Linked DNA regions of Tribolium castaneum. The protein of the gene in region 1 purifies or fractionates together with the protein of each later gene. This does not show direct contact. Links are inferred from orthologs where the notes say so. Each region holds a gene or a part of one and is shown in the gene's direction. Other genes may lie near its edges.

Evidence for each region.
Region 2: the proteins of eukaryotic initiation factor 4A-III (region 1) and RnpS1 fractionate together in Homo sapiens (co-fractionation; 3 studies listed by BioGRID and IntAct, with this or other methods). This does not show direct contact. The link is inferred for Tribolium castaneum from reciprocal best matches to the Homo sapiens genes EIF4A3 and RNPS1.
Region 3: the proteins of eukaryotic initiation factor 4A-III (region 1) and Cbp80 purify together in Homo sapiens (co-immunoprecipitation; 3 studies listed by BioGRID and IntAct, with this or other methods). This does not show direct contact. The link is inferred for Tribolium castaneum from reciprocal best matches to the Homo sapiens genes EIF4A3 and NCBP1.

Annotation. Positions count from the first base shown.
Region 1 is NC_087396.1:14,194,579-14,198,095, forward strand, and holds eukaryotic initiation factor 4A-III, read left to right. Parts: upstream 1-1,311; 5' UTR 1,312-1,599; coding exon 1,600-1,747; intron 1,748-1,799; coding exon 1,800-2,135; intron 2,136-2,189; coding exon 2,190-2,920; 3' UTR 2,921-3,017; downstream 3,018-3,517. Other genes in the region: Sf3b2 (splicing factor 3B subunit 2), read right to left, coding at 3,080-3,145, 3,193-3,490. UniProt on the Homo sapiens protein: ATP-dependent RNA helicase. Involved in pre-mRNA splicing as component of the spliceosome. Core component of the splicing-dependent multiprotein exon junction complex (EJC) deposited at splice junctions on mRNAs.
Region 2 is NC_087399.1:5,873,613-5,876,890, forward strand, and holds RnpS1 (RNA-binding protein with serine-rich domain 1), read left to right. Parts: upstream 1-1,327; 5' UTR 1,328-1,484; coding exon 1,485-1,486; intron 1,487-1,716; coding exon 1,717-1,830; intron 1,831-1,880; coding exon 1,881-2,700; 3' UTR 2,701-2,778; downstream 2,779-3,278. Other genes in the region: fl(2)d (pre-mRNA-splicing regulator female-lethal(2)D), read left to right, coding at 229-882; ankyrin-3, read left to right, coding at 2,921-2,971, 3,018-3,145, 3,196-3,278. UniProt on the Homo sapiens protein: Part of pre- and post-splicing multiprotein mRNP complexes. Auxiliary component of the splicing-dependent multiprotein exon junction complex (EJC) deposited at splice junction on mRNAs.
Region 3 is NC_087397.1:5,580,077-5,584,376, forward strand, and holds part of Cbp80 (nuclear cap-binding protein subunit 1), read left to right. Parts: coding exon of another isoform or gene 1-2,080; intron 2,081-2,150; coding exon of another isoform or gene 2,151-2,186; exon of another isoform or gene 2,187-2,300; intron 2,301-3,616; coding exon 3,617-3,855; intron 3,856-3,903; coding exon 3,904-4,300. Other genes in the region: mucin-2-like, read right to left, coding at 1-2,080, 2,151-2,186. UniProt on the Homo sapiens protein: Component of the cap-binding complex (CBC), which binds cotranscriptionally to the 5'-cap of pre-mRNAs and is involved in various processes such as pre-mRNA splicing, translation regulation, nonsense-mediated mRNA decay, RNA-mediated gene silencing (RNAi) by microRNAs (miRNAs) and mRNA export.

The DNA of each region.
Region 1 (3,517 bases):
GTTTTTTATTAGCAGTTTTTATTGAACTTTCTTCCGGATTTATAAATATTTTGAACTTAAATTTGGGAGACTTCCTGTTGTCGTAACAACTTGAAATTTTGCATGTCCACGTAACTTTTGGAGCCCTATTACGTCATGTACTTCGATTCTCGATTAAAAAATGTGCAATGCTATTTCGGTTCCTGATGGAGATACGGGAACAGGACCTAGCCTATTCGATAGCCCAGGAAAAATACTACGGGGCGGTAGGGTTTTCAAAAGGGCAAAACCACCCCTCTATCTCCTACAGGAACGAAGATATTTCGCATTTTGTGAAATACAAGATTTCCTTAAATTTCTATAAAAATTTTGAAATGTGAAAGAAAATTTTAGGTTGTTTACAAAATTTTTATAAAAATTGAAGAAAATCTTGTAATTCACAAAATCTTAAATATCTCCGTTCCTGTAGGAGATAGAGGGGTGGTTCTGCCCTTTTGAAAACCCTACCGCCCCGTAGTATTTTTCCTGGGCTATCGAATGGAATAGGTCCCGTTCCCGTATCTCCATCAGGAACCGAGATAGCATTGCACATCTTTAAATCAACAACCGAAGTACATTACGTAATAGTGCTCCAAAAGTTATGTGTGCATGCAAAATTTCAAGTTGCTACGATAACAGGAAGTGTCTTAAATTTAAGTTCAAAATATTTATAACTCCGAAAGACAAACAAAGCAAGTTGAATAAAAATTCTAATAAAAAACTACAGCTTGTTTGTTCACAGACTTTATTTAATGCGATTTATTTTGAATCATATTTTACGAGTTAATTTTGAGGCACTTCCTGTTGTCGTAGCAACTTCAAATTTTGCATGCACACGTAACTTTTGGAGCACTATTACGTCATGTACTTCGATTCCCGATTAAAAAATGTGCAATGCTATTTCGGTTCCTGATGGAGATACGGGAACGGGACCTAGCCTATTCGATAGCCCAGGAAAAATACTACGGGGCGGTTGGGTTTTCAAAAGGGCAAAACCACCCCTCTATCTTGTACGAGAACGAAGATATTTCGCATTTTGTAAATTACAAATTCTATAAAATTTTTACTAGATCTTTATTACATTTTTTAGATTACACAAAAAAATTAAAACCAAAAAACGTAAGCGGCGACATCTGAGTATGGTAGGTCAAAGTACATGTTTACAGTAATCTAGAAAAAAATTGTGTGCCATCTATGGGTTGCTACAGTAACCTATAAATTGTATTTTTTTAACAGTATGCACAGGCAACCAATTATACAAGACAATCTTGTATATTGCCTACTATTAAGTGGACGCCATATTTTTGTCAAATGTCAAAAAACGCTAAAAGACGTAGCGACTCGCGTGCAAACAACATTAAACGGGCGAAAAAGTGTTTAAAAGTTAGTAAAGGTGAAAAATAAGTGTTTTATTTCTCTCAATACTACAAACAAACCAGTTGGGGACGTGCAAGTGGCCCCAAAAATGCAAACACCTTTGTGAAAGACAGGTGCCCCAAGTGTTGTGCTTCAGTGAACTGGACATTCAATTAAATCATCTAAACTTTACTTTAACACACGTTCTAATTTCTGACGGAGGCAATGGCTGTCGCAAAACCTTCAAACCGCAATGCGGCTTTCGAAGACTTGTCGAACGTTGAGTTCGAAACCAGCGAAGATGTGGAAGTCATCGAGCAATTTAAGAATATGCACCTGAAGGAGGAGCTCCTTCGCGGTGTCTTTGCATATGGTAATAGGAAAATGTGGGTCAGTGCGGCTCGGATTGAGGTCATTGCTTTCAGGTTTTGAGAAACCATCAGCTATCCAACAGAGGGCTATCAAGCCGATAATAAAGGGCCGAGATGTTATCGCTCAAGCCCAGTCAGGTACCGGCAAAACGGCCACATTCTCGATCGCTATTTTGCAGTCGCTTGACTTGCAAACGCGGGAAACCCAAGTACTTTGCTTGTCGCCAACGAGGGAGTTGGCCGTGCAAATCCAGAAAGTTATCCTGGCTTTGGGGGACTTTATGAACGTGCAGTGTCACGCCTGCATTGGTGGGACCAATCTGGGAGAGGATATCAGGAAGCTGGATTATGGGCAACATGTTGTTAGTGGAACACCTGGAAGAGTTTACGGTACTTATAATTATCTTATAAATAATTTCCCCTACCAAAAAACTTAATTTTCAGACATGATCAGACGGCGCGCCCTTAGGACCAGGTCCGTCAAAATGCTGGTTTTGGACGAAGCCGACGAAATGTTAAACAAAGGCTTCAAGGAGCAAATCTACGACGTTTACAGGTTCCTGCCGCCCTCCACTCAAGTCGTGTTGATTTCTGCGACTTTGCCCCACGAGATTTTGGAGATCACGTCGAAGTTCATGACGGACCCGATCCGTATTTTGGTAAAACGTGATGAATTAACTCTTGAAGGCATCAAGCAATTTTTCGTCGCGGTTGAGCGTGAGGAGTGGAAATTTGACACACTTTGTGACTTGTACGATACTTTAACCATCACGCAAGCTGTTATCTTTTGCAACACTAAACGCAAAGTCGATTGGTTGACTGAAAAAATGCGCGAAAACAATTTCACCGTGAGTTCCATGCACGGTGATATGCCCCAGAAGGAGAGAGATAATATTATGAAGGAGTTCAGGTCGGGACAGAGTCGTGTACTTATCACGACCGATGTGTGGGCGAGAGGTATCGACGTCCAGCAAGTCAGTTTGGTCATTAATTACGATTTGCCGAACAACCGTGAGTTGTACATTCACCGTATTGGGCGATCTGGCAGGTTTGGTAGAAAGGGTGTTGCGATTAATTTCGTCAAGTCGGACGATATCAGGATTTTGCGGGATATTGAGCAGTATTATTCCACACAGATTGACGAAATGCCGATGAATGTCGCTGATTTAATTTAAACGAATAACATTTTTTATGTCCTTATATTATGTAAGAAGTTTGTGTAATAATTAATTAATTAATATGGGAAGTAATAAACGACTATGATTTTTCCTACTCCTAATATTTCTCTCGCCAAATTAAAATCAGAATGACAAATATTCATACCAGAAAATGCACTAAAACTTGAATTCTTTGTATTTTTTCGTTTGTTTTGTGTCCTGTTGTTGGCGCTTGCGTTTATTCTAAAACGAAACAATTAGGTAAATCAACAAATTACACAATATGTTACCTTTTGTTTGGCGACGTGCTCAGCTAACATATCACTGAGATCTTCCTTCTGCAGCTGTGACTGGTTTTCCCTCATTTGTTGTTCGTAACGAACCGCCATTGCATCGCTATCCATATCCAACTCAGACGGATCAAGAGCCAACTCAACCATTCCTTCCTTGTCCCCTGGTTTGCGACTAGTTGCAGGGGCTGCGCCCACAGCAGACATGTCGTAAACGTGGCTGCTCCCCATCATGGAACCACCTATTCTCTCATTGCGTTTTTCGGGAATGACATGATACAAAATCGGGTTTTCACCCCTACAAAACAATTTAAAATACCCCCCT
Region 2 (3,278 bases), on another chromosome or scaffold:
GAATCATTTTTCAATTTTTCATAAAATTGTGCGTTTGTACTAGTTTTAATAAAATCACCAGAAACGTTATGTTGAATAAAATGGTTAACATTACTTGTATATTTTATTAACGAAATGTCGGGGACGTAGACACCTTGTTATTGTAAGACCGCTGTGTAAACCCACTCCGAAAAATGGGCGCCCTTGCGATATTTTTTGTGTCAATATTAAAGAGTATTTTTGCTGCAGTGCCAATTGAACGAGCTGAAAAGTGCCCAAGCCCCCTCGGCCCTCCGTTCAACCCTGCTCGATCCTGCCGTGAACTGCATCCTTCAGCAGCTAAAAACCGAGCTCCAATCGACCCGTTCCGAGCTTGAGGACACCAAGAACGAGCTAACGGCGTGGAAATTCACCCCCGACTCGAACACGGGCAAACGCCTGATGGCGAAATGCCGCCTCCTGTACCAGGAGAACGAGGAACTCGGCAAAATCACGAGCTCGGGCCGCATCGCGAAGCTCGAGAGCGACCTGGCGCTGCAGAAGAGCTTCTCCGAGGAGGTCAGACAGAGCCAGAACGAGCTGGACGCGTTCCTGGCCGACCTGGACGAGGACGTCGAGGGCATGCAGAGCACGATCCTGTTCCTCCAGACGGAGCTGCGCAAGACGAAAGAGAGCGCCCAAGTGCTGCAGAAGGAGAACAGTACGCTCAAGCTGGCCAATGGGCGGTCGAACGGTGACAGTGTGTGTGAACAGGAACGGACGGACTCGGACTCCGAGGCGGAGAGGACTACTTGTGTGAAACGCGTGCGAAGGTCGTCCGTCCTCAGTATCGACTATAACGAGGACGACGCCCTCGTCATCAGCACGAACGGTGACGTCGCGATGGCCTCCGACCCAGAATAGTGAGCTGAGATTAACCCAACTATTACGCATATAAACTGACGAACAGTATATTCAATTGTACATAGAAATATACTAGCCTAATGTGGTTGTTTCGAATTGTGACTTCAATCATTACTAAATTGTGTTGATCACTGCGGTGCAGTTGCAGAATTTTTTCTATTAGTTTTGGCAACAATGCAATATTTTATTACTTTCCCCCATTCAAGGTGTTATCAAGGTGCGCTTTTTTATCCATTGTTCGCATTTTATTCATTCGACCGACTCTGTTTTAAATTTGTCAGATTGTATCATTTTTTAACGTTTTTATGTTGAAAGTTGTATTTATAAAATAAAACAAAAATTATATCACTTATTATTGACCACGGTGTTTTACTTGTAGCTGCGGGGGTGCAAAATTCAATCTCCCACCGTTGGTGTAGCAGTTACAAACTTAAAGTCACCAGAACAGCGCTACCAACATCAAGTGGTCGTAGTAGCGTCGTTTTGCTAATTTTCCACAATTACACAGTTTTTCATGTAGTTTTCATACTTCCGCGTTAATACAGTGAAAGGTTTTAGTTCTAAACTTGTCCCGACTTTACAGGAATCAAGAATAGTCAGAAATGTGAGTATTTACGTTTTGAGGTTATGTTTGTAGTCCGGGAGGGCTTTCCACGATTTCCTTGTAGTTTTAGCACATTTTAACTCCCATGCATCACTTGTGTTTGCTCGATTTGCTTCCTTCAAGGTTCTTCAAGATCAAGATAATTTGTATTACAACAACTGACTTGTTTGTTCACTCCCGGACACCATTACTTTTTACAAATTTTTTGAGTTGGTTTTTATTGTTCTTAGGGCAAAAATAGGTTCTGATACGGAAAAGGACGACAAGGATAAGAAGAAAGAACGTGGTAGGGACCGTAAACGGAAGAGTGAGTCTGGTTCAAGCAGCAGCGATAGCAGCAGAAGGTAACACCCGAGTTTGAAGAGTTTGTAATCACCTAAAACACTTGATTTAGTTCTTCCGACAGTAGCTCGTCCAGCTCGCGCTCTTCGAGCAGTTCCAGTTCGGGCAGCAGTTCCCGCTCGAGCAGTTCCTCCTCGGAGTCCTCAAGCTCAAGCAGCGATAAAGACCGCAGTCGCCCCAAACGCCGTTCGCGCTCCACCAGCAAACCCACCCGACGCAGCAAAGAGCGCAAAGACAAAGACAAGGAAAAGGAGAAGGAAAAAGATGTCAAAAAGGACGATAAAGACGAGGTCAAAGACAAAGACGTCAACAATCGCAAATCCCCAGCGAAAGACGACAAAAACCACACCCGTGGCAAGTCTCGTTCGCGCTCGCGCTCAGACCGGCGCAAAAGGCGTCGCAGGTCCCCCACGCCACGCCCCACGAAAATCCACATTGGGCGTTTAACACGCACCATCAACAGGGAGCACATTATGGAGATTTTCGGGACGTATGGACCAATCAAACATGTGGATTTCCCCAAAGACCACATCCACCCACACTTGGGGCGGGGCTTCTGCTACGTGGAGTTCACCAATGCGGACGATGCCGAAAACGCGATGAAACACATGGATGGGGGGCAAATTGATGGACAGGAGATCACGGCGGCTCCGGTGCTTGTACCCAAGCCGAGACCGCCCCCCATGAGGCGCAGCCCCATGCCGATGCATATGAGGAGGCCTCCGCCCCACAGACGCACCCCGCCCAGATTCCGGAGGCGGAGCCCCATGCGACCGATGAGGAGGAGCCCGCCGAGGAGGCGCCCCCATTCCAGGAGCCCCCCGCCCAGGCGCAGGAAGCACAGCCGCTCCAGTTCGAGCAGTTCCAGATGATTTTTTCGATTTTAATTTTTTAAGGTATTGTAATGCGTGAAAAGGAATAAAACCGGAATTAAGGTATTGATAATCAAAGATTGATAAATGATAAAATTATTATTTTGTCATATTGGTATTACCACGTATTGCCTATCACATAACCTAGCTTTCTTCAAATAATTGTTACAAATGAAATTGATGGAAAATTGATGAAGATGACTCGTAAATCGTTTAAGTGATGTCTGTCTCACATAATTGTGATGAAAACCGCCGAAATCTCTTATCTGAAGTAATAATTTATTTTGACATAACCTCAAATTTAGCCTTTGCTCCAGGTTGAATCAGCAATATCTAACAATGACCTTGCCACCCTCAAGCAGCTTTTACCGCACCCTTTTGACCAAACCACCCTTCAGGACGAAAACGGCAACAACCCTCTGCACTTATCCATAATTTACGAAAAGTATGATCCCCCCTAACGTTCAGTAAATCCCTACCAAGTCCTGGTTTCAGGAACGCAATTTTTGACTACTTGCTTGATAAATTCGACTTGGAGGCGCAAAACCACTCCGGACACACAGCCCTATCCCTGTCCC
Region 3 (4,300 bases), on another chromosome or scaffold:
GGATTGTGAATTTTTGTTGCGTTACTGTTGTTTTTGGCTTTGATTCGAAATAAAATTCCGTGACTGTGGTGGGTTTAGGGTGGGTTGTCACAGATTCGGGTTCTCCTAAAGTGGTACCATAACTCGTTCGACTCCGAGTGGTCGTAGGTACTATCTCTGGTATAGTGGTTTCATAACTGGGTGTTTTTGCTATTGTCTCGTACGTATTTTTCGGGTGAGTTGTAGTGGGTACCGCCTCTACTACAGTCGTACCATAACTAGTTGACAGGTATGGAGTTGTGATAGGTACCGCCTCTATGATAGTAGAACCTTGCAGGGTTGTGACTGGTACAGCTTCTACTATAGTAGTTGAACCATATGGAGTTGTAGTGGGTATTGTTTGGATTGTGGTAGTAGTTTTAGGACTACTTGAAGTGTGTAGCGTTCTAACTGGTACTTCTTCTACTAGAGTCGTTCTGTAACTAGTTTTGGGGCTAGACGGTGGTAGAAAAGTAGTGCCTTGATTGGTTGAAGTGTGCAAAGTTCTGACTGGCACTGCTTCTATCACAGTGGTTCCATAACTGGTGGTTTTGGGGCTGGATGATGTGGAAAAAGTGGTATCATGACCAGTTGTAGGTCGTAAAGTTCGAACGGGTACTGCTTCTATTACTGTGGTTTCATAACTACTAGTCTTGGGGCTAGACGATGGTAGAAAAGTGGTTGACGTGTGCAGAGTTCTGACGGGAACTGCTTCTATTATAGTAGTTGTTTTGGGGCTAGTCGAAGTGGTTTTGGGACTGGTTGAAGTGTGTAAAGTCCTAACGGGTACCGCCTCAATCACCGTACTACTTTTCGGTACAGTGGTATAAAACGTAGTACTTTTAACCCTCTCGGTCGTAAAGGGCCCAATAATTGTAGTTTTCTGCTCTGTATACGGTACTTTTTCAATTGTGGTACTTTCTTCTTTCCTAACCGAAGGTTGAGTCGTGGTAACGTACGGAATTGTAGTTTCAACGTTTCGATCAGGGGCTGGAAGTTGTTCACTGATTGAATCCGGTCGTGTGTGTTTCGGAACTTCCGTAACCGGTTTCATCGGTTCGGTTGGACTAACCGGGAACAAATTAACTCGTTCTTCACTTGTCGTAATTTTTTTCGTAGTAGTTGTGCGTAACGCCTCCGAAAAAATATCAAAACTCTCGTCTTGTTTTTCCGTTGTTGTCTCAACCGGAGTGTAATAATGAATGGTTGTGATGGGTTTCGGCGACTTTGTATAACTTTGGGTCGGTAAAGTCGTAATCGGGATTAATTGTCCTTCACTTACGACAAAAGTCGTAGTCGTAGGAGTCGTAACTGAGAATCGGTGAGGCCCACTTGATGTTTTCGCCGCCAATGACTCGATCAATTTTTTGTACAGTTCGTATTCTTTTGGATCGATTGTTGTTTGGTCGTGGTATGAAGTGAAAAATCCGGGAAAACTGTGCAACACGTGTTTGTACCCATCCGGGGTCATTTGTATTAAAATTCCGGGTTTGTAGTGTCCATGATCTTCCTCTTTCTTGAACCACTCTTTTTGTCCAACTGTGTTCACACCCGGATCGCTCTTAATCACGAAAATGTGTCCCGGGACGTTATAGTTAAAAAACCCATGTCTTTTGACCAAATCCTCGCTGATGGTGTGCGTGATGGGCGAAATCGTGTACTCGATTTCGTACACGTGCCCATAATGGGGGTCCCGATGTCTTATCCGCTTCACCGTCCACAGTGCGAGTAGTTTATGGTGACCGAAGGTTTTCCACTGGCATTGGGGCGACGTGAGGCATCTTTGACAATCACAGTCCACGTCTTGAACAAATTTGAAACCTTCAGGGGTTATGTAGAGTTGTCCTCGTGCCAGAACGGCGATGTCTCCGAAAGGACTTGCGTCGTCCTGTCGGTTGATAAAAGGGGCTGCCAGGAGGCGGTCGCGGAGCCCCGGGTCGGTGTAGTGTTCCCGGAGGAGGGCCTGATGCACGGACTCACGCAGCCCCAATTCCCAGTCGGTGGGAGGATGAAAGTTTCGCACGGGTCGAGTGATTGATACAGTTTCCCATAGTTGGAGAGTCTGAAAATGAGAGTTTTCATTTTTTAATAACCTTGGACTTGAATGGGATTGTTAGTCGTGGTAAAATTACCAAGAGTAAAATGAAGATTATTTCGAAGTGTCCCATTTTAGACCCACTGGGTGTTTGCAAATGTTTGAAAGCTGCACATGTCACTAGTTCGCTCGGTTTCTTACAACTAAATCTTTTTACTTAGAGAGATTGAAGAGTACCCCACCGATGATCCTAGAAGCTTTCGACATAATTGCTAATACATTGTCTACTTTTCTGCGCACTGATGAATATTAATTATTTTTTTCTTGTGTGTGCAATGTGCATATTATATTACTTAATTTAGACACATGCCAAGATAATTATCTCGGGGTTTTAAGAAAAAACCCGAATTATTATTTTCGGACAAGTTAATTTGGCACGACAGTAATTAACTAAAATGACTCTCATTAACAATGAAGTTTTGAAATTTTTATTAAGAGTGATGGGTTTGTTAAAATTAAACCTTCGGAAAAAGTATTGTCCGAAGTGAGATTTTTTAATTAAAAATTTATTAGCAAGGTTTTATTGGCAATTCTATGATGAATTTGTATTGTCGCAACATCTTGATAATTGCATTTTCATTACGATAAATAATGGACTCGCACTTTTAATTTAATTTATTTTTTACCTTCTTCTTTGATGGTGGATTTTTGTTGATTTAATTTCTGCAAAAACATTTTTTTTCTTTATGTTACTCGAAGGAAAATAGAGAAATTTTATTTTCACCGAAAAGCGTGGCTAATTGAAACCTTGTGGTGTTACCTAAGACCCTATTTGCGTAAAATTCAGTACTTGAGGTAGAATATTTTCATTTTTATTGCACAAATTCATTACCTTTGATTTAATCTCCGCGTTATGAAACCAGAGATGTTTACGATCGTTCTTATTTTTTTCTTTTAATTCGTAATTTTGCTCACGAATCTTCAGTTTCACCTTGAACTTAATTGCTCTGAAAAGAACCGATTTTAAGTCAGCGGCGATATCGCAAAGTCGCATCTTTACGCTTGGAGATTTCGAAACGAAAAACAATAACGAAAGTGCATGTTACACGATGAAGATTACAATTGTTTGAAACAATCATCACAATGAGCAAATTTGACATAATGGTCACGGTATGAAGTGATTCTTGTAATTTAAAGGAAAAAGTCCGAAAGTAAAACGTGCGTGAATTTGACCAATTAACACGAGAAAATAGCTATACATTGCAGCTTGCGTAAGAAAGGGATACGATTATATGCGTTCGAGAAAAAACGAACGTTTCCGTTATGATTACTTGCAACAATATTGGATTTTCTGGTCGGTGGTCTTCCGCTATTATTAATTTTTCTTTTCCGTTTCGGTTTGCGGAAAACAATTTTGTTGTATTAAACGGATTGTTTTTTTGAATAATTCATTTATTTAAAGTGGAACGGAGGATTATGAGGAGTTGTGAAAAAATCCAGCTTCCGTCGTGGCGAAACCAAAATTATGAAATTTTTTGTCATGCATAACAAATCGTGTTTTAGCGTCACTTCCGGGTACTACGGCTGCCCATCAATTGGTGGTGTCAATACGTCAGAAGTGCACCCCCGAGGAGGTCCTAGGGGTGCTTAAGGACCTCCCAAACCCCCGTTCAGAAGAAGAGACTGATAGCAGATTTAATCCTCTCAAAATCGACGTTTTTGTGCAAACTCTACTCAACTTAGGGTCGAAGAGCTTCTCGCACAGTTTTGCAGCGATTTCCAAGTTTCTTTACGTTTTTAAGGTACTCAGGCTTGAACATTTGTGTCTTAAATCACTTTTTTTTTGATAGATTTTAGCAGAGTCGGAGGAAGCTCAAATTTGCGTTTTACGAAACATGTTCGAATTGTGGCACCACCACCAACAAATGATGGTCGTTTTAGTTGACAAAATGTTGAAAATTCAAATTGTCGAGTGTTCAGCGGTCGCTAATTGGATTTTTTCCAAAGAGATGACGGCCGAATTCACCAAAATGTACTTGTGGGAAATTTTACATCTGACTATTAAAAAAATGAACAGACACGTGATTAAGCTAGGGGGTGAACTAGCTGAAGCTAGAGAGAAACTAGCACGGGCTGAAAGCAGCGAAAGTGAGTCTGAAGATGAGGATTCGAAGAAGAAGCAATCTGATAACGAGAAACCAACTGAAGAGTATGTTGAAAGGATGGAAGAGAAGTTGGAAGCGGCAC